Linked DNA regions of Danio rerio. The protein of the gene in region 1 purifies or fractionates together with the protein of each later gene. This does not show direct contact. Links are inferred from orthologs where the notes say so. Each region holds a gene or a part of one and is shown in the gene's direction. Other genes may lie near its edges.

Region 1 (12,253 bases):
TCAGCTCAAACCAGTCTGGCCATTCTCCTCTGACCTCTGGCATCAGGGCATTGCGCTCACAGAACTGCCGCTTACGGGATATTTTCTCTTTGTTGGACAATTCTCTGTAAACCCTAAAGATGGTTGATCAGAAGTTTCTGAAATACTCAGACCAGCCTGTCTGGCAACCATGCCACGTTCAAAGTCTCTTAAATCACCTTTCTTCACCATATACTCAGTTATATCATTATAATTTATATAATATGTAATAATAATAATAATATATATATATATATATATATATATATATATATATATATATATATATATATATATATATATATATAGCCTATGTAATAATACTACAGTAAATTATTATTTCAAAAGACAGTTGAAGTCAGAATTATTAGCCCCACTTTGAAATTTTTTGTCTTTTTTAAATATTTTATAAATTATATTTAACAGAGCAAGGACATTTTCACAGTATGTCTGATAATGTTTTTTTCTTCTAGAGGAAGTCTTATTTGCTTTATTTCGGCTAGAATGAAAGCAGTTTTAAGTTTGTTATGAACTATTTTAAGGTCAAAACTATTAGCCCCTTTAAGCTATTTTTTTTTCGATAGTCTACTGAACAAACCATCTTTATACAATAAATTGCCTAATTACCCTAATCTGCCTAGTTAACCTAATTAACCTAGTTAAGCCTTTAAATGTCAATTTAAGCTGTATAGTAGTATCTTGAAAAATATCTAGTAAAATATTATTTACTGTCATAAGGGCAAAGATAAAATAATTCAGTTATTAGAAATGAGTTATTAAAACAATTTTAATTAGAAATGTGTTGAAAAATATTCTCTCTGTTAAACAGAAATTGGTGAAACAATTAAACAGGGTGGCTAATAATTCTGACTTCAACTGTAGGCCTATTTAATAATGATTTTTTTTTAATGTAAAATATTCAAAGTTACCTATTAAAGTAGAAAAATAAGTGATCATATCAATTTTAATACTATAAAATGTTTTTGCTGATAGCAAGATTACGCCTAGTCGTTTGAAGAACAGCTACAAAATGTGAGATTCAATTACAGTTTATCAGTATTTGTAGGCTACACGGTCATCAAATGATAATTGCTCCGAATATGCTGACAAGTTTATTTAATTATATTAGCTGTTGTTACATTTTGTAGTTGTATTTTGTAAATGATTGTTAGCAGAGTATGGTGGTGTATTGATTGTTTTGATTCCCTAAAATCCCATCTTCGTACAAGAGTACTGACATACTTTTATAGAGGCAGCAATAGGTGGCGTGCTTGAGCAACAGGTAAATTCTTGAATGAAGGGAGATGAAGTTAAAGGTGAGCAGTGATGTCGTGCGAGAGTGCCTGTTGAACGATGATACAACACATTCTCAGAGATTTGGAGTGAATTAATTAGTGGATATAAAGAATTAAGAGTTCAATAATGGACAAACTCAGAGCGGTTCTGGGTGGTCGGGATGGAAACAATGATAACAGGAACATACTGCAGGTGAGTTACCAATAGTAATTTTCTAGAACTCCTAACGTGTGAAATTGTAATTGTAAAATTAATAAAATGACACAGGCTTACACTGCCGTTACAACTTAATTTCAGTTTTATTTTTCTTAATATTTTTACTTGGAGGTGCGAAAGCATGTAAATTACAGTTGTGTGTTGTGTTCACTGCAGGCGGCGAATGAAGCGTCCACACTGGGATGGGGAACGCGCGTGAAAGGATTCGTTGGTTGTTTGGTCGTTGGAGTAGTGTTCTCTATCTTGGTCAGTCATTTAAACTTTATTTCATTTTATTTTTTGTAGCTTCCTGACTATTGAGAAGGGCTAGGCGATGAGTTGGTGGAAAATGTTTAGAAGCTGTGTCACCGGTTTGGCCTGTTGTATAGAATGGCATTTCAAGTATCTTGAGTGAGAATAGGAAAATAACTTGTTTCTCTTTTAAGATGTTGTTTAACTTTCTGTATACCTTTCTGTTCACTCAAAAATTAAAACTGCCTATTAATTTTCTCACACAAAAGCCATCCTTGTTGAAAATATTGTCCTTGGTGATTCATAAAACGCAATTGAAAGGCAACCTGCACTTTTAGAGTCATAAAACAATATATAGGCTAAACAAAATTATTACCTGTTGCTCATGAAGACAAATTGATGTCTTATTAGGGGAAGCAATCAATAAGAAATTTAACATTATTTATGATGTTATTAATCTGCAGCCTCCCTTTTGGGAACATATTGTAGACACAAACTCATGTGAGCTGATGCTGTTTGTTTACATGTATGTATAGCTTCCTGGAAAAGCACTAGTATTAATGTTGCACACCAGAGGTGCCCAAACCTTTTCTTATGAAAGGCCGACATCCAAAGTTGATTGAGGGTGGTGGGCCGAAGCTAAATATACTAAACTGCAATACATTAAAGTAGCCATGATAACTTCCTAAATTAATAATATTTAAACATATTTCGGAAAAATTATTTAATCATATCAGTAATCTATATATATATATATATATATATATATATATATATATATATATATATATATATATATATATATATATATATATATATATATACAAATTCACATTTAATTTAAACATTATTTTCAGTTTTGCCTTTTTTTTGTAGCTCAGCAATTAAACAAAATGTTATGTAAAATTGAAAAGGATGAATTCGGTTTGAGGGATTTACCCCAACCTTCCCCATTTTTGGTCCATTTCTTCTCACGGGCCCTAGTTTGGGCAACTTTCTTGGAAACACTGTTTTGATTCTTGCATGTGCAAAAAACACTTTATAACACCTCACTGCATCATCACAAGCTACGGGTATTAATTTTATTTACTCTGCATATTATTTTGACTGTGATAGTGCCAGTAGAAAATGTTGAATCTGCAAGGACTGTGGTTTCACTTCAAAATATTCTGATGAAAAAATAAATGCTTCTTCTAGAAATATCCTTTTAACTGTCATATTAATAATATACATTTTTTTATCTACCTCAGGGAGTAGGTTGCCTGTTTATTCCCAAAATTGGGATACTTCTTTTTGTTGTGTTTTATACATTGGGAAACGTTTGCTCCTTAGCAAGGTGAGTCATCTGGTTTATAGCAACTAAAATTCTGTGACTATTTGCATTGTATTTTAATTAATTTCATTTGAACTCCTCAACAGCACCATGTTTTTAATGGGACCAGTGAAACAGCTGAAACGCATGTGTGACAAGACCAGAGCCTTTGCTACTGTTGTGATGATAGTGAGTTAATCTTTTCCACACCACACTCTGCTTGACTTTACATGTAAAGCCATCAATGAGGATGTGACTTGTTGTAAAAATAATGCAGACATGTTAGTTGTCTTGCAGTTTCTGGCTTTTCAAGTTTTAAAGCAAATGACGCTTGAAAGAAGTTTATTAATTACTAGGGCCAGACAGAATCTGTGGACATTTTTGCTATTTCTGCAGAGAATTTTGTAAAAAAAATTGCAGTTTTATGCGGAATCAGTTTGGGAGTATCATAACTGCAAATTTAATAAATGAAATAAAATATAATAGGTTTTTAACCTTTATTTAATGTTTACAATGCAAATCCAATTAGATTCACTTATTTGGCAAACAAAGCAAGTCTCTCATATAATACATCTAATAAAAGATAGAAAATATTACTTTACAAACTGTATTGTAAATAAATCATATGCACATTTTCATATTAGCCAATAATAATACTGAAATTAATTTAAAAACAGAATAAATATTATTTTAAACATACATACATGTTTAAATAAATAGACTGCAGATTTCTGTGCACACAGATTCCATATAGGCTGACTTATTACTTAAATTATGGATTACTATTTCTAACAACCAAGCAATACTGCATGAAATGTTTACCAGTCAAAAAAGTAAAAACAGGCCTTTTTAAACTTTTTTCATTTCTGGTGTTTTAAGAACAAAACAAACTTTAGTTTTCGGCTGAAATCACCTATTATGATTTTCACTATTCAATAAGAATCTAATAAAATTATCCTAATTTTGAAAGTAAAAACATATTGCCTTTAAATAACTTTAAAAAAAACTCTAAGAATTAATGCATTATATTTCAAAAACATGTTGGATGCGCCAAAAAGTGTTAGAATTATTATTTGAATTCATGTGCTCTCTTTGGAAACATTTGACCAGATGTTTAATGAGTACTAAAAGTTTCACTATTTTTTCTCTGTCCATAGACATGTCTGGTTCTCACACTCTGTGCAGTATTTTGGGTGAGCTTTCTGCATTTCTCCCTGCTGTATAGTTTTAGATTTTATCTCTGTATATAATAAATCTAATAGAATTAGCTTTCTTTAATACTAATTCAACACTAATCTCTGTACAACAGTGGAAGATCTTTGCTCTCACTCTGCTGTTTGTCATTCTTCAAGTCCTTGCATTTGCATGGTAAGTTTACAATGACACATTATTTTAAGCATGGACACCACACTGTATAACTTACAATTTCATTTACCTTTAAAAAACAAATAAAAAAAAAGTATAGAATGTTATCTGATAAAATTTTAGGATAATGTCCTGACCCCAGTGCTATACATGCTGCATATACAGATTATTGAAAGTTCAAAGCAATATGTTTGCTGGGTTTGTACTATTTGTCTTAAGTAAAATCAATGTCCATTGTTTCTTTTCTTTGATATGTTCAAAATAATGAACACATTCTCTCATTGACTGTGTGAATAATTATGACTACTTTAATTTAAATTCATCAATTTGTTTTAAAAGCTTATTAATTAACTAAAAAGTAACTCGCATGACATTTTTGAAAAACTTACTCAAATATTACTTATTTGTTTAATGCAATACTTTACTTGTTACTTAGAAAAGTAAAATTATTACGTAACTCTTGTTACTTGTAATGCGTTACCACCAACACTGCTTTTTCCTGTACTGAAATACATTTGATCAATTTATTAATTTTTCTTTATAGGTATGGCCTCTCATACATCCCTTTTGCAAGGTTAGTCATTATTTGTGATTTTAACATATTATTTTGTCTTAAAATATTGAATTAGATAAAACATATTAAGCATTTGATGGATGTGTGAATATTTGTTAGGTGGTTCATTCTGCTGTGGCGACCCCTAAAATAGAGACTAAACTGAAGAAAGTAAATGAATGCTAGAAAATAAATATGACACAATTGAAACCAAGTACAGTATTTTTAATTCTCTATGCTGTCTTTGTCTTAACCAGGGATGCTGTACTGAAGTTTTTCTCCATGTTGTGCAACATGTGTATGAAATGAAGAGCTGATGTTTATCCTTTCATCACTCTGGGAACTGGGAACACTCTGCTCAAGTATTCTGCAATTCTGGGGTCCACAAATAATCACTGAGACTATGGGATGGTGCTAGTTGTAATCGCTAACGTTAGCTGGACGACATGCTAAATCTGACTGTACAAAAGATTACATTTTACTGAATGTGTTTTAAATGTGTTGTAAAACAGATTTGTAAATGTTATGAAATGTCTTAAAATTGATATTTATTAAAGTAGATATTGCAGTTATATACTAAAAAGCTGACCTTCTATTTTTTTCTGTATCTTTGTCTGATACTATTTGTAAATGAAGTCTAGCTCAATTTTTTTTTCTGTGTCAGAATGTTGAATATAATTCAAAGGATAATCCGAGATTTGAGAATTTAAGATCTTTACACACGTATTCTTTATAAAATATACATATTTTAAATATATATGTACTTTTTTAAGAATGGCGCCTTTAAAGAGCGCGTGCTTGCGTTGCCAACTTGTCATTGGACAGCGTCAGTTTTGCTACCCGCCCATTCACTATTGCAGGAAGTAGAAAAACAAGTCACGTCAAACTGGCGCGCACAAGCTATTAAAGAGAAAAGAAATTCAGATGATTTAACATAAACGTAAACAACAAGGATGTCCACATTTCTTCGAGCAGTCAGAAACAACATACCAGAAAAGGACAAATCTGAACTAACGGAGAATGACCTGAAGAAATGGGGACTTGGAGGTGTGTGGAGCAATTGCGAGCTAACTTACTTGTTTAAGTTAATGTTTAACGCTTAACCCTACGTTAATCGTATTTAGCCCGTTTTGGATCAGGTAAATCATTAGTTTACAAAAAGTTTTGGATATAACGTTACATCAATAACGTACCGATAACTTCTCGTTAATGAATTTGCTTAAAAAAGTTTTACATTCCCAAAGTTTTACCTCATTGCCCATTTGTATTTATAAAAATACGAAGAATCATTTGCGATTTAGATGCATAGATTTACGTTTGTGAACTTCATATAGAAAACTTATGCCATTTTATTTTGATAAATTACATTTATAAGTACATTTAATATGATAATTACCTGGATCAACCCTTTTAATAGAAATTAATACCGTACATTTATTTCTCATGATTAGCTCAAGAACAATCCAGGTGGATAAAAACTAATACAATAAAACTAATATTTATTTCTAACAAGCAAAATAAATATTAACGTTACTCTAATAAAGTTTTTAAACATTATAATTTGATTTGCTCGTACACTGAAAAACTCCTATGTGATCTATGGGAAAATGCAAATAATTTTTCAAAGTAACTTTACAATAACAGAACTGATTTTGTCTGAATATGCGTATGATTTTATCCATGATATTATTTACATACATAAATGTATAGGTAAGACATAACTTGATTTAATGTAATTTATTAATGTTGCTCAAATTCATGTACAGTTTATACACGTTGATATCTTTAGATTTCACCCCACTCCTTTGTTTTGTAATGGTTTACTCCACCTTTATTGGACTGTTTTAAGTTATATTAAAAAAAATTTGAGACAGACAGAGCAACACACAGGGTTCATAAGGTCATGGAAAACCTGGAAAAGTCATGTAATTTTGACATGGCATTTTCCAGGCCTTAATAAAAATTTTGGAAAAATTAGAAAAACACACAAAGTTTTGGAAAAGTCATGGAAATTAGTTTAACAAATATCTCTATACCTAAATTAGGGCTGCACGATATTGGGATGAAATGTGTTGTATTTCTGTGATTATATATTGCGATGTGAATGCAATTTCACCAGATGATTTAACAGGTTTATTTGGATTGATTGGGGGATTTTGTAAAGGAGTGAATCTTGAATAATATATAACAAATAACTTACAAGCATAGATAAATTAAATATAGCAAAGACAAAAGTGAATAATGATATAGTCTCCATTGTATATTATTTAATCTTTCTTAAAGTTACAAAAAGTTTCTTGTGGCTGGTTGTTTTAAAATTTGAAATATTGAAATGTTCTCACAGTCAAAGGCCTGAAAGGGACAGTTTTGTCAAAGATGAAAATGTAATCACTATTTACTGACCCTTCACTATAGTTATTAAATTATATATTTTTTGTGTTCATTTAAAAAAAAAATGAAAATCATTAATGTTTGAAACAAGTGAAGGGTGTAACGAAATTGGTAAGTAATTTTTGGATGAACTATCTCTTTAAAAATTCATGCAGATGACAAATGTTTGTTCCATTATGATTAAACTATAATCCCAACATTGCATGTCCTGCAATGTGACTATTGCAGATGCACATATTACAATATCGATTCTGAACCACATTATACAGCCCTATCTTGTATACAGGTTAGTTGTCTTCTTTTCTGTTCTTGGCCAAAAACTTGCTCTCACCATCATCAAAATTTTACATGGATATAAAAAGTAATTTAAATAAAATAGATTGTTGCCTGTTATATGATATGCTGTAATAAATTTAAACACCATTCTTTTTCTTGTTATTTACCATGTATATGTAGACATTACATGAAACATTACGTCATGAATAGTCATGGAATTTTAGTAGTAAGAATGTGTATGAACCCTGAACAGTTTTTTGGCCGGAGTTTATTGTTACCTTGCATCTTTAATTGGATGGAAAGCCGAGTTGATTTATTGCCTGACTGATTTTCTGAAATTCTGATAGTTCAGTGTAATATAAATAAATAATCATGGATTGATTCATTAATATATGGCATATCTAGGCATGGGCCGGTATGAGATTCTGATGGTATGATAACCTTTAATAAAAATATCACGGTTTCACAGTATCACGATATTGTGATTACTGCGCTAAAATATTTTCTTTTTAAATGTCTGCATAAAAAAACAAAAACTTTTTTCCCCTTTGAAAACAAAGATTCATAATATCTTGTTACAGTAAACATGTCAGGCTAAATAATTCAAATGAATCAATGACTTCTGCTGTCTTCATTTGTTTCAAAAACAAATTTCTTTACCATTTAAAATGGCATTTTTGGATAATTTTTTTTTCTGCTGGAGATACTGTTGTCCTAAAAAACTAAAAAGAAATGTAAATAAAAGATTTTACACAAATTTTAGGAACGATATTACAGAAAACTTTTTCGGTTTTAAAACCTAGACTTTTTCAAACTGGGGTATACCTTGAAAACGGTTATCGTCCCATGCCTAGGCATATCTCAATCTTAACCTGATGTCAAATTTACTTAAACACAAAGATGCACTTTGCATTAAATTTGTATATCAAAAAAGGATGATTTTTATTAAAAATAAAATATTTTATTAGAATTTTTTACAAGTGATTACAATGGTCAATGTCATCAATGGGGTAATGCACACAGACTTTTATCTTCAGTCAGTCAGCCCCAGGGCTTCTGGTGAATTGTCATCCCATACAAAATCACAGCAAAAAAGATCTGATTTCTTGAAATAACAGTGATAATCTCTGCCTGGCTGAGATAAGATATAAATTGGGTATCAGACCAAACAAGAAGCACTGCATTAAATTATATTATTCCATGCCATGTCTATTAAAAATGGAAATTAATTTTACCTCAGTATTTTCAATGGAGTTTTTGCGCTTACCTGCTTCTATTGGCGGCACTTGCGTTTAAATAGTCTCTTTTTATGTTTTAATAACCAAATAGATGCTTAAGTCTTTTTAACTGTTTATATTTGATGGTGTTATTACATAACACCATCAAAGCTGTAAAAGGAACTTTATGAAAGGGAAAATAGTCGCATGAAGCTTTCACCGGAAGTTCCTTATTGGCTGAAAAACACTAGCTGTGCATATATTTTCGGGCATGATTGACTTTTCACGTGTCACATTAATTGGAGCAGTGAAATAAGGCTTCGAACACCTGTTACATGATTTAAAATACTCTAAATCTGAAAGTTTTTTTCTTACAAACAACGCTGTTATCCTTTATCTCTTTCCTAATAGCTATTCATCTGAGGCCTTATCAGCTGGATGGAGTGAAGTGGCTGTCACTGTGTATGAAGAACCAGCAGGGCTGCATCCTCGGTGATGAGATGGGTCTGGGCAAGACCTGTCAGGTTAGTAATGGGATGGCTTTATCTTGCTTATATTGCTTGCTTTTAAGCCGAAAGATTTATTCCGAGATGTCAGATATGAGATAAGTGAGATGTCATGCTCTGCTGTAGACCATCTCTTTGCTGGCGTATGCTCGAGGAAGCCTTAAGATGAACGGGCCGTTCCTTGTGCTTTGTCCCTTGGCTGTTTTGGAGAACTGGAGGCAAGAGTTGGAACGGTAAGAGACATTGGTTGTGATCAGAATTGTGTGGTCAATTTAGATTATGAAGAATGCACGATAAAGTTCTTGGTTCATTACTGTGCTGCTATGAATGCTTACATTTTTAGTAATCGATAACAGTTTACTTCTATGACATTTCTTATTCATTTTAATGACTTTCAGATTCATAAAATGTTTTTTTGTGTTCAGCAGAAAAAAAGTAATTCATAAATGTTTGGCCCCAATTGAGGATATGTAAATGATTCGATTTTAGTTTAACTAACCCTTAAAATAGCTTAAAATGGATATTTATTAAATCAGAGACTGTTAAAAGTTGCAATTTCTGTTTTTCGAAATTTGTTTCAATATTGTGTAATGGTAACATTGTAAATAAAAGACTAGCTTCGGTTTGCTGGGAACCATTTTTTAAAAAGAAATGTGCGTGTGTGTGTTAAGAATGCAATATTTTTAGTCCCAAACTGTTTTATATTAAAAAAAAAAAACTAAATAAGGCTAAATATTTATCAGATTTTTTCACAGACATGAATTCACAAATATTTTTTATATAATTTACACAATATTCCATACATACTCAGATACTTCAAAATAAAAACACTATTTGACGAAAAGGACAAATATTTTGAAACAATTTTTTTGAAAAACATGAATCACAATTTTTTTGACGCATGTATTCCATACATACCAATATATTCCAAAATAACCAGATCATAAAGCATAAATGTTTGTTCCCACATGTGGACCATTGTATAAGGGAATTTTCAGTTTTGAATTGTCCCTTTAAATATCTTAAAATGAGAATTTATTTACTCAGATATTGTGAGCTATTGAAAGTTGCACTCTCTATTTGTTTACCTTTGTCTTAATATTGTAATTTAAAGACTAACTTGGATTTACTGGTAATCTTAAAAAAAAATGTGTGTGTGTGTGCTAAGAATGGAACATTTTCAGTCTCAAAGTGTGTTATATTTGAAGAAATTAGTAAATATTTTTAACAAATTTTTTTTGACACATGAATTCACTAATTATTTTACGAAAATATTTTGACACTTATATTCCATATTTACCCAGATTCTTCAAAATAACCAGAATTAAATTAACCCATAAATGTTTGATCCCACTTTTGGGCTAGGAAAGCTTGAGTAAATTGTTAGTTTTAGTTGAAATATCCCTTTAAACATCTTTAAATGTGTATTTATTAAGTCAGATATTGTGATCTATTGAAAGTTGCACTTTCCATTTTGTTTTCCTTTGTCTTAACATTGCGTAACGATAACATCTTCTAAATTAAGAATAAAGACTAGCTTGGGTTTACAGGTATTGTTTAAAAATGCTAAATAGGGACATGAATAAAATGAGTAAGTTTTAATTTTTATGTGAAATATCTCTTGAAATATGTTAAAATGGATATTTATTCAATCAGATAGTTGTGATCTTAAAAGTTTTACTTAATTTTTTTTTACTTTTGTCCTAATATAGTGCAATGATAACATCTTGTAAATATAGCTTGGTATTAGTTTGGGTTTACAGGTAATCTTTGCAAAAAATATGTGTGTTTCAGTCCCACAGTTTGTTTTATTTGACGAAAAGGCTAAATGCATTTAACACATTTTATTGACAAACATGAATTCAAAAATTATTTTACAAAACTTTTTTTGACGCATGTATTCCATACATATCCAAATGCTCCGATATAACCAGATCATAAAACATAATTATTTAATCCCACTTGAGGATCATTATATGATGAGTGAATTTTCAGTTTTGAAATATCCCTTTAAATATCTTAAAATGGATCTTAATTAAATCAGATATTGTGAGCTATTGAAAGTTGGACTTTCTATTTTTCTACTTTTGTCTTAATATTGTGTACTGACGATAATATCTATCAAATTAAAGTCTACCTTTGATTTAAAGGCAATCTTGTGTGTTAAGAATGGCGCCTTTTCAGTCCCAAAGTGTGTAATATTTGAAGAAAAGTTTAAATATATTGTCCACATTTAAGACAGACATGAATTCTCAACTTTTTTGATGCATGTATTCCATAAATGTCTAGATTCTTCAAAACAACCAGAACATGCAACATTTAGCAATAAACAAAGTGGTGAAAAGGATAAATTTTATTTAGTTCAGTTGACAGCAGATTTACACTCTCAGCTAAACTTACTGAGCAGCATTTATGGCCATAATCAGATGATTTTACAAGCAAGAAGTCCATGTGTTGTCACTGTCACTAGATGGAGACAATCGCAAATAAATTCTGAATATTCTAAGTCCTCCTTGAATGGGAAATCCAGTTCAGATGAAAGATTGCTTCTGGTTTTCTTGCTTTCCTTCAGTTTCTGCCCTAGTCTGTCTGTGATCTGTTACACTGGGGATAAAGAGAGAAGGGCAGAGCTCCAGCAAAACCTAAAGAGTGACCCACGGTTTCATGTTCTTCTCACCACCTATGAGGTACGAACACCTTTTATCAGAATAACCTTCTGAGGGTTGCTATCCAAACCTGTGAGCTGTTCTTTTTTTAATGGAAACTCTTTCTCATATTTAATAGATGTGCCTTAAGGATGCCCGCTACCTAAAAAGGTGATTTTTCTTTCCTGTTTTTGGCATGAAATTATATGAATAGATATAATAACCCT
Region 2 (11,638 bases), on another chromosome or scaffold:
GCTCCTGGTGGAGACTTCTGCTTTGTGTTTATCTCATGATTAAAGCTATTGCTGGTTCCTGCCTCTAAATGAGCGAGTTTGAGCTACTTGTACATTAAGGTAGCATTCAGAAAAAACAAAACACCCATAAAAAAACTACAGAGAAACAAAAACCTGCTGCCAGCTAGCGTTTCGAAAGCGTTATTGCAGAGCAACACGAAACAGTGCACAGAAGTATACATGCACGACTACGCTCAAGGCAAGCACCGTGGGCCCCAGCGATATGTATAAACCAGCCTTTAAAATGACGTTTAAAAACTTAACTAGGTTGATTAGTTAACTAAGCAAGTTACTGGACAAAAATTGTTTATTCTGTAGCCAATAAGATGTAAGATGTTCTCAAGAAAAACAGTTTTATATAAAATTGCATGCGTGTGTGTGTCTATCTATATAGTTATTTATTTATATTTATTGTTACAGGTTTGTTTATTTATTTTTTCCTGGTGCTGGGATGTCTACTAGATGGCGCTATTGTCTTGAGGTCGCTTGTTCCCTATGTGCATAGGTTGGAGTGCTTTACGGATGTGTTGCATTGCCAGTAATGAGTGCATGATAAAACAATTCTTCATTTGTTCTCTTGAGAAAAGCTTTCGTTTTTGGCTTAACTTACGCTGCCTAATCATTCCCCTGCAGCACCAGAGTTTTTGTTTGTTTAAATAATTTCTTTTGCATTTGATCTTGTTTAACTTACTTTAATATTTCTTGCTTTTTTAATTATTCGATTGGTGGCATGAACTCTTAATTATGTTGCAAACTGTCTAGAGCTGAACACGCACATATATATATATATATATATATATATATATATATATATATATATATACATATATATATATATATATATATATATATATATATATATATATATATATATATATATATATATATATACATACACACACACACACACATATATATATATATATATATATATATATATATTTACACACATATATATATATATATATATACATATACATACATATATATATATATATATATATATATATATATATATATATATATATATATATATATATATATAAACAAATGTTAATATCAAAAAATTAAAACCTGCAAATTTAACAATTACAACTTAGCAAGCTTAATAAAAAAGTCATTAAGCTACAACTTAAATTATCTAGATCTAAACAAAATGAGGATCATCTGCTGAAGTATGATTGTTGACAATCTTTTCCTGTACTTTTTGTACATTTTATTGCTAAAGTCATTAGTAACTTAACGAATGTCACTTTAAATTGTAACTGTTAGTGTTACTGAGGAAAATAATCAAGTGAGGTAGGACTGGACATTATATCTCAATTGTTATCGCAACAAAAGTATATGCAAGTATTGCAAACGTGTGATAAATTAAATGTAGTTTATATATTAGTTATCTAAATTTGACCGGTCAGATGGGGCCTTACTTACTTTAGCACCGCCTACCCTGTTCACTATTGGCTGTAGCGGCTCAAAGCTGAACCCAGAGCTAAAAATAAACACTAATTAATGGAGAAGAGATGAGAGGAAAATGGCAACAGCCAATCAGAGTTTCACTCATAGGGCAAAGTCTAAAGCGCAGGGCGCATTCAGGGCATGTCAGAATCCACTTTTGCTATTTTAAGAATGGAAAAATCCGCTTTGCGCCGTGGCGCATGGTCTAACAGAGTTGAGCTTATTCTCTTATATATATATATTAGTTATAGGTGTGTTTTGAGAATAAACCAATCAGAGTCTCGTCTCCCATTCCCTTTAAGAGTCAGCTGCGTGGTGCTATAACGATTTGCTATTTACATGGCGGACTTTGTAAGTGGAAAAACAGCACTTCACTGGCGAGAAAACAGTTAAACAGAGCATCTGCAGCACGAGGATAAAGAATGAGCCTCCTCCATTAGGCCTCTTTTACGCACAGACATCCATTAGCCTACATAAATAATTTGGTTAAGCGCAAAGATTTGCTTCAAAGCTATTTCTAAATTCAGTTCTAATTTCCAGCAAACGAATAAAAGAACAATAATAACCAAGTGTGCTCAAAAACCTGAGTTATATCCTAATACACATGCTGCGCCCCATATGGTCTAAAACCTGACAGGTGGACAAATCTAAGCTTGTTTTTAATAAAACAAATATAAATATAAATATAATAAATAATACTGCTAATAATAATAACATTATACAAAAGCAAATTGTCATGAATAAACTAAAAAAAAAGCCTTTATAAAAAAGCACCTTATTGCCCCAGGTGTATGTTAGGGCCCATAGTGTTTTAAAGACTAAGAAAACCCAGTTTTTTAGTCTGAATTAGAATTAAAAAGATCTTAAAAATATAATTTACCTGTTTATTTTATTATCATTAAATAATAAATGATTTTAAAGCAGCTAATAAAAACAGCATTTTTCAAGGGAAATGGTATATCGTAAGCAATAATGTTATTGTGATACTCAGCAATAATAATAGCAATATTGCATATTTTCCCAGTATTGTGCAGCCCTAAAAGAAGCATTTTAATTTCCAATACTATCCAAAGCATCTCGTTCTTGATGATTAAATGATAAGGTATGTTTGTGCTAATGCTTGTCCTACTCTTTATTGTGTTTATTGTTTATCCTGCATCTCTTCTCAGGTGATGATGGCTCTGGCATGGACACCGAAGATGAGCTCAACAGGTACGACATGCATTGCATTCCAAACTCACTGTCGCTATGTGCAAATAAATGCTTGTAATTGTTCTTTAACATCCCCGGTTTGTGTAACCCAGCTGTCTTTAAAATCTCATTATTGTTGAGTTGATGTCGTCTTAATGCATCTGTGTGAGCTGAAAGGAGGGTATTTGATCAGGCGTGAGTGATGGTTGCTTTCTTTCTGCTAAAATAAACTGTGTTTTATAGTTGGTTATTCTTAAACATTTTCAACAATACACTGTAGGCTAAATGACTACCCTTTCATTATGCTGGGGGCTGTTTTTGCCCCATTGACTTCCATTGTAATGACATTTATCAAGATTAATAGAAAATCTAAATAAGCAGCTCAGCTCTCATAACATAGTATGTTTCTGCACACACGCTATAATCTGCTGTTTTACTCTGTAGAGCTTTTTGCACAGGCCGATCTAAAGGTTTAATGCTGATAACTGATTTGATCTCACTCTTATGAGATTATGAAATGCTTTAACTGTGACTTTTGATCAATTCAATGCATCAATTCAATGTAAATCCTTGCATGCCAGTAATTACCTAAAATGTGTATCGAGTTAATGCATTGGCTGGGTTAGGAATGGCAAAGAGTTCCTTGATTTTTCTATAGCATCAGATGTGTAATGCTCCAGTGTTTATGTTCGTCTATTTTAGGGTGGAGATGGCGAGCAGGAAGAAAAAGGCAGCAGAGCAAAGCGCAGATAAGGGAAAAAATGAAGATCCGTACGGCGGCTCGACTGATGAAAACACAGACGCTGAGGAAGAGGAGGATAAACCCATCCCTGAACTGCCAGGTCTGACACCTCCTGCTGCACTTTCATCTAAAAAGTCTTGAGGATCTTTGAGAAATCATCTTTGTTTTCGCTCCTTCAGATTTCCTAAAGGGGAAGCGCTTCTATCTTTACGGCAAGTTCCCTGACAACCAAAAAAGACTACTTCTGCGCTACATCATCGCCTTCAATGGGTATGAACGTGTGTTTATAAGTGTGTCTGTGTGATCCATTTAAAGCGGAGTGATGATTAAGAAGCTGTAGGCGATTTAAAAATATGGACGTAGTGTCCATGATGTCAACAGTAGGATTTCTAAAGAGTGCACATAGATATATACACTAGATATCGAATAGGGACCCTGAGCATGCGTCAGTAGCGCCGCCACATTGGTACAGTGCTCCCAGGACAAATGTCATTCAACTGCACTAGACAAGACAGTGTTATTACGTGAAGATGCGGGACTTTAGCGCTGTCTACGGGTGTAGTAACGAGCAATCAAAGAAAAGAAAGCACAAAGGCAGAACATTTCATAGGTAATATTAAGTTTTTTACGTTTTTGTATGTTATGACTTTTGTATTCAACATTGATGATAACAGTCACTTACTGCATTCACCATAAGGCAAAGTAGCTCCAACTCGCACTAAACACTCGGCTTATGCTGGTTTTGTTGAATAAAATCAGCAAACAATGCAAATGAAATATGACAACGAGATGCTGCGCTGCCAGAAACTTGTATTATTGTTGGCTAGTGAACGAGTCGTTCATAACGGGGATTCATTCACAAGCGAATCGCTCCCTCCGTCAGTATGAGCAGTGAAAGCAGGAGAGGAGCTGTGTTTCAGGACATGATTAGATCAAATTTAACAGGGAGGGTGAATAGTACATTTCTGTACACACAAACACAAGCTTTTTGTTAGGAATGCCCGTGCGGTCACTGATCCATCAATGTAGAAAAGTGATGTAAAATTAAAATTTTCGTAATAAAAAAAAAATTTGCATACTAACATCCAGGAAAACTCACAATCATAGATATATGTGTATATGTGTATATCTCTGGCTTTGGGTTGGCACAGTCCTCCACTGTACCTTGGTCCCGCATTCATTTCAAAGGAGCGCTACCCTGTTCCAAGATGTCGGCTCTATTGACGCATTCCGTCCAATAGACAACAACAGGGTAGGCGACATCTAATGTATATATTTATGAAGAGCGCAAATGAAGTGGGCGGAGCTTTTCTAATTGCCAATCATGCATTACTCCCTAATAATTAAAAATGCAATGAGGTGGTGAATAGGCGGAGCTAGAGATGCCCTTTTTATTGATGAAACACTTCACACTTCCTTTAAAGGTGACCTGTTTGTGTTCTGGCCACATGCGCTCGGTTGAATTTTAGATTGACTTTGTGCTTTCTTTTAATGCCATGCAGCCCTTTTAAGCATTAAAGTGGTAAATGCTAATAAATACGTCAAATAAAGTCTAAATGCTAGGCTATCATGAAACGCTATGAGATCTGAAATGCAGACTTGGCATTGTATGACAGTGTTTCATATGACTGTGTTATAGACCATTTCAATATGGCGATATCACTGGTTCATGAACAGTGCCGGCTTGTCTTAAAACCTTTTCAGAACTGTAACAAGAGGGGATTCAGTCGTACCTAATGTTAACACGGCTGTCATTATAAAAAGTATCAACATGTGGAACTTTCTGGGTTCTCAGAAGCTTTGGAAATGAAAGATGTAAAACAGGAAATGCATTAGGACCATTGTTATTGTTTACATCCCTCAAAATGGTCTATAGCTGACAGCTGATTGATTTCTCAGATTCTGGAGGGCATTACAGTTCTGAATATTAATTATAAATGGATAATACATAATTTTAAATAAATGAAATACATATACAGTTGAAGTCAGAATTATTAGCCCCCCCTGAATTAATATTCCCCCCTTGTTTATCCCCACCCCCCATTTCTGTTTAACGGAGAGCAGGTTTTGCCAGCACATTTCTAATCATAATCATTTTAATAACTCATTTTTAATAATTGATTTATTTTATTTTTGTCTTGATGACAGTAAATAATATTAGACTAGATATTCTTCAAGACACTTCTATACAGCTTAAAGTGACATTTAAAGGCTTCACTAGGGTAATTAGGGTGACTAGGCAGGTTAGGGTAATTAGGCAAGTTATTGTATAATGATGGTTTGTTCTGTAGACTATCAAAAAAATATAGCTTAAAGGGGCTAATAATATTGAGCTTAAAATGGCTTTTGAAAAATTAAAAACTGCTTTTATTCTAGCCAAAATAAAACAAATAAAACTTTCTCCAGAAGAAAAAATATTATCAGACATACTGTGAACATTTCCTGAATCTGTTCAACATCAACTGGGAAATATTTAAAAAGAAAGAAATATTCAAAGGGTGGCGAATAATTCTGCCTTCAACTGTGTATACTTATTTTATATAATTTATTCAATGTATAATAAATAGTGTATGGCTTTTTGAATCATACTATAGTAAAGTACTTAAATTAGTCTGTTGTGGTGATTCTACAGTTGCTATGCTATCACAACAACTATATAATAATTCTGACTTTAACTGTATAGTTGAAATTTATATAAAAAAATTACTCATCAGGGTTCAACGCTAATGATTTTTTATACGGGTCCGATCGGGCTATTGCTTAAGATTTTTACATGCCCTGTCAAAATTTTCACTAGCCCCACCAAAAAAACTAAAAAGTTAATAGCGATTTCTTAGCCATATATTTTAAATAGTGGCAAAATTATGCCTGTGAATCTAGAATTTAAACATTTTAAATATGTTAATAAATTTATAATGAGCAAGATTCAAGATTTTATGCAAATGAAAGAGCAGTATGAAAAATGTGCTGGTGTTTTAATGCAATTCTAAATAACTTTTTATAAAAGTGGCTTGCCAAACTGACAACTGTTATTTTTTTGTTCTTTTTTTCAGTTTCTTAATTTTGTACCCATGTAATGGTCTGCTTCTAAGCCTTTAGAAACGTTTTCTTTTAGCCTTATTGTTTAAATTTGCCACCATATTGCCATCTTTTCACTGTACTGGTTGTTACCAGGTCAAAAAACAAAACAAAAAAAAAACATTCTCATCGTTACTGGCCGATAGGGGCCAGTAACAATCCTGTCTACTGTCCCGAGTGTCTTTCACGCTGGCCCCGGGCCACCGGGCAGTCCTTATTGTTGAGCCCTGCTCATGTAATAGAATGGTGGCCAGACTTAGTTATCACAATTAACTGCAAAACATTTTTGATAGTTTTAAGAAATAATCCCGAAAAGCAATAGACTGTAAAGCTGCATAAACAAAGGCACAAATGTGATCTACATAATGGCCAAGAATTATCTGAGCAAAAGACACCTGTAACTCAAGTGGCCACGCCCTTAATTATGCACAATTTTAGGGCTTAATATAAATTAAACTTGAGTTAAAAAAAAAAAAAAAAATCATCCTTTCACAATTGTCATGAAGAAGAATATCAGCTATATACAGCTAGACCACTTTTTGTACCAAGCTGTAAACATTTGTTTCTGCTGTAAATCTGGTCATTTTAGCATGGAAAGCCTATGGAGTCAAATCCCAATTGGAGCCTCTGGTGGCCAGTGAATGAACTGCATTTTTATTCAGAGCCTTTATTTTATCCTCAGAGCTGTTGAAGACTACATGAGCGAGAAGGTCCAGTTCGTCATCACCAGTGAGGGATGGGACGACTCTTTCGAGGATGTGAGTATTTCATCTTTTTACCTGAAACACAATTTGTTTTTAGCAGTGTTTCTATTTATTTATCTGAGATTGCTGCATGTGTTTTGAAGGACAGATCTATCAATCCTCGAAATCATGATCAGCTATTGGCTGACGGCACAGCAGCGTAATGACATCATCTGATTAATATTCAATTATCCATGTGAGCAAAATTAGATCATATTCATAGTAAGCGGTTTGCTAAATATGACACGCAATAACTTTCCACATTTGTTGTGGGCTGCAGGCTTTATACTTTCATGTGTCAAGAGTATTTAACAGTTTATTTAGTTTTACAGTTAGAGTAGATTTTCTTCATTATAGTAGACTAGGCCTATTTTAATCTCTTCATTTAAATTAATTTTGCATCAAAAAAGCATTTTGATATTGGTTACGGTGTCTGCAACTTTTGCAAAACATCAAATCACCAGCATATTAGCTGTCAAAACATGTGCATGACTGCATAAATTATTATTCCATTATAAACGAACAAACAAACAACAGTTGAGTATTGTGGATGTCTATTATCATACAGAAATTGTACTGAAGCTGGATCAGTGCCTTAAAATAGTATGCATTTGTATCTAAAAAGTCCATATTAATAAATGTTCTCTTTGATCCCCTTGGGGATTTTTGTACTTTTATTTCAGAGTGCAGATTGCAAACGTTTTATTTACATAATTTTTTAACGTTGTTGTATGTAAACTTAAGTATTATTAATTATTTAATTCATTCATTCATTTTCTTGTCTTCTTAGTCCCTTAATAATCTGGGGTCGCCACAGCGGAATGACCCGCCTACTTATCCAGCAAGTTTTTTTACGCAGCAGATGCCATTCCACCCGCAACCCATCTCTGGGAAACATCCACACACAAACTCATACACTACAGACAATTTAGCCTACCCAATTCCCCTATAGCGCATGTCTTTGGACTGTGGAGGAAACCGGAGCACCCGGAGGAAACCCACGCCAACGCAGGGAGAACATGCAAACCCCACACAGATATGCCAACTAAGCCGAGGCTTGACCCAGCGACCTTCTTGCTGTGAGGCGACAGCACTACCTACTGCGCCACTGCTTCGCCTAATTATTCAATAATAAATTATATTAATTATTATAAATTACAAATGTGTATATATAAACTATTTTAACTATTTTTAAACTATTTTACGAAGTGTATATAGTTTATAGGTAAGAAAATATCAGCATTTGGTACATACTTTCAGTATTATCTTTGCATGAAATAAACCTGCTCCCGAGCAGGTTTGAGCTACCAGAACTGTTGCTATGACAACAACTCTCGGATCAGTTTTGAAGAATGAAACAATCCTGGATCACGACAAATCGTCAATAACCAAATCCAGCTAACTGAGTAATCCATGTACGAAGAACAAACCCCTGGTGCAGTTACATCTGAGCTGCATGCAATGCTTTTAATGCACTCACCTAGCCCCGCCCCTCACAGTGGCATCACTAGCTCCATTGAGTGCATTGTGTCTGTCATTGCATCTCTGAGATATGCAATCTCAGCTTGCGTCTAATGGCTGCGTTCAGATACTATTGGCCTATCATTTGTTGTGTTTAGTACAGAAATGCACTTATTTTAGTGGTGGTGGCCCATTTGCATTGTATTTATTGTGTTTTGAATGCAAATGCCACTTTATTAAAAATGTTTTGCATGTTATTGATGTTTATCAAAAACAAGTTATGTAATATCAATTGTTCTGCCCCCTTTGACCTTTGAAAATTCAGATTTGGACCTTTTAATGTAGACATTGAGAACCCCTGATTTAGTAGTTGAATGATGCAAGTTTTACTCTGGCTGATAGCGATATTTATCAGTGGAGCTGATGGCCAAAATATAATGCACACTTGTTTGTTTTGGCCCATATGTTCAAACAATTTTTATAGTGTTTAAATTGAAGATCTACTGTGACTGCATCATAACGCGTGACTTAATATGACAATGTAGGAAACTGTCTCAGCCGAGTCCATTGACACACAAGTTTGCTTTTAATTGAATGTACATTTGAACATCTTTGAGAGAGTTTTCACTGACGGAAAATGCAGATCTGTTTTTGTTCAGCCGCTGTCATTGATGTGGTTTTCTTCAGCCGCTCTGCACAGCAATCAAAACCCCTATGCATTAAACGTCTCCTCGAGTCAAGGCCCAGTTTCTACCCTTTCATCTCCTTTTACTGCCTCTTCTGTCTTTTTACAGGCCTTGATGGAAAATGGGAGTCTGAGCTTTGTGAAGCCTACCTGGATATTCGCCATCAATGACAGACAGAAGATGTTGCCTTATCAGCCATACACTGTTGTGCCTTAATAGAGTTTTTCATGTTTTCAACCATCAATCCCTGCCTTGACCTGAGCAGACACTGGCTCAACCTATAAACAAAAGACTTCTGCCGTTATTTTAGCTCTCTAATGTCTTTAGAGACCTGTCTGACTTTCTTCTGTTTGATAGTTAACAGACCTTCTGTCCCACTGAGGAACATCATACAGGTTTGGAAAGAGGTGTGAAATAATAAATGAATGAATTAACAATCTTTGGATTGAACTTTTAATACCCCATATCTGTCACAGGTCTTTGTTTTGATGCTGAAAAATGGACTTATGGCATATACCAGCCCACCAGCCCAGAGATAAAAGACTCTGATGCATATTCATGATCGGTTTTACCAGCAATTCAAAGCTGTTTATGAAGCTGTTAAATATTAATTACTAAAGACCAAACCTAAAAACCCTTTTGATTCTGACTTGCGGAGAACGTGCTTATTTATAATGTATGTTCCGATGTACTGTCAATTATTGATTAACTGATCCATATTTAGATTTTTTGGCTTATTGAGTTGGTTAAGATGGAAAGATTTCAACTTGGTGTGGTCTTTAGCATTAATATTACAATAATAATATTGCTTTTGTGTGGAGCTCAAGCATATTTAAGAAAAAGAAGCACCTGAAATTAATATTGCTGTACTTTTTTAATGTTTCTTGTTCTTAAGTGTTGATGTTTGTTGTTTTATTTTGGATTCACTTTAACGTTTGACTAAATTCTTGATGTATTTTGCTTGTTACGTTTCTTTAATGTAAGTAATACTTTGAGGTTCTAGCTTAAAAGAGCACAGAATAAAGTTGGAAAATAGTTTTGCTGAAGTGATGTTGTGGATCTTCTGGTTTCTGTTTGGAAGGTATCTTATAATTAGGCCCACACGGAATCTGCGCGCGCAGAATTCCGCAGATTTTCCGCAGAATTCCACAGATTTATGCAGATTTTAAGCCCATTATTAATTCTATTTATTTACTTGAGTAAATGTATAAATCTGAATTTATTCAGTTTTTATTTAGTAATTTATTACTTTTTATTTAATATATTAAGGTGTAAGTTATGATACTCCGCTGGATACTCTCAAAATAATTCCGCAGAAATCCGCAGATTTTACTAAAATTCTCCGCAGAAATAGCAAAAAAAACGTCCGCAGATTCCGTCTGGCCCTGGTTATAATCAATCATTTTCCTGTTCCTGCTCTAAAGTAAAAAGAGTACCAATGTACCAAAAATGGTGAAGTGTTTCCTTTCCTTTGAGGAAAATATTTGTTTAATTTTTGCAATATTTTTGTAGTTACAGGACTGCATTGTTTTGTCCACATGAATAATGTTTTTTAGTATGGGTTTCAGAGTTCAGGTTTGGGGAAACTGCAACAAACAATTAATGAAAACCTTAAAATTGTGTGTATGTGCTCAATCTATAGGCATGAGCAAGTACAACATTAGATTACAGGTGATTATTTATATTAGTCCTGTGTTAAAGAGTAGTGATAAGATGTTGATGTTAATCCACCATATAAAAAAAAGATTAGCTGACATAATTTAACACATTTGTTTATTAATCACTGTAATTGTTTACATCTAATATTTCATGTGTAATGTGCAATCGTAGCTGGTTTAAAACCATCTTTCTAATCCAGCTTAACCCGTTTGTGATCTGTCCTAGCGAACTACCTAATTAGGCTGTTTCCTTTTCAGCAGAGATTCGTCAAACAGAATTCTGAATTTGTACAGAATTTTATATTACTGTGCTTATAAGTCCTTGGAGTCTTGGTCGTCTAGCTACATCTTTCATTTTTTTGTTAACAAGAGGTCTCATGTCTGTCCCCTGCTGAAGAAAGGTGTCTATCTTCTTTTCTGAGTCTTAAATTCAAGGCTAAGCATCAGAATGGATTTTTTTTGTTCTCTTTACCTGCGTTTATTCTGTCAAATTTGTTTTTTGTCCTTTACTCAAGTGTTCACCATCTTGAGTGTATCTGCATATTTTGTTGTTGAATTATAACGCAACATGATTTCACACCTCAT

The links.
Region 2: the proteins of chd1l (region 1) and xrcc1 purify together in Homo sapiens (affinity purification with mass spectrometry; 3 studies listed by BioGRID and IntAct, counting the BioPlex papers as one, with this or other methods). This does not show direct contact. The link is inferred for Danio rerio from reciprocal best matches to the Homo sapiens genes CHD1L and XRCC1.

Annotation. Positions count from the first base shown.
Region 1 is NC_133181.1:39,396,007-39,408,259, forward strand, and holds the start of chd1l (chromodomain-helicase-DNA-binding protein 1-like), read left to right. Parts: upstream 1-5,837; 5' UTR 5,838-5,944; coding exon 5,945-6,038; intron 6,039-9,286; coding exon 9,287-9,399; intron 9,400-9,507; coding exon 9,508-9,614; intron 9,615-11,953; coding exon 11,954-12,068; intron 12,069-12,165; coding exon 12,166-12,197; intron 12,198-12,253. Other genes in the region: sft2d2a (SFT2 domain containing 2a), read left to right, coding at 1,441-1,506, 1,687-1,776, 3,012-3,097, 3,181-3,262, 4,231-4,266, 4,383-4,441, 4,983-5,012, 5,249-5,300. UniProt on the Homo sapiens protein: ATP-dependent chromatin remodeler that mediates chromatin-remodeling following DNA damage.
Region 2 is NC_133191.1:58,622,552-58,634,189, forward strand, and holds the end of xrcc1 (DNA repair protein XRCC1), read left to right. Parts: intron 1-2,663; coding exon 2,664-2,706; intron 2,707-3,387; coding exon 3,388-3,527; intron 3,528-3,606; coding exon 3,607-3,697; exon of another isoform or gene 3,698-5,295; intron 5,296-5,491; exon of another isoform or gene 5,492-5,894; intron 5,895-7,187; coding exon 7,188-7,263; intron 7,264-9,503; coding exon 9,504-9,611; 3' UTR 9,612-10,441; downstream 10,442-11,638. UniProt on the Homo sapiens protein: Scaffold protein involved in DNA single-strand break repair by mediating the assembly of DNA break repair protein complexes. Negatively regulates ADP-ribosyltransferase activity of PARP1 during base-excision repair in order to prevent excessive PARP1 activity.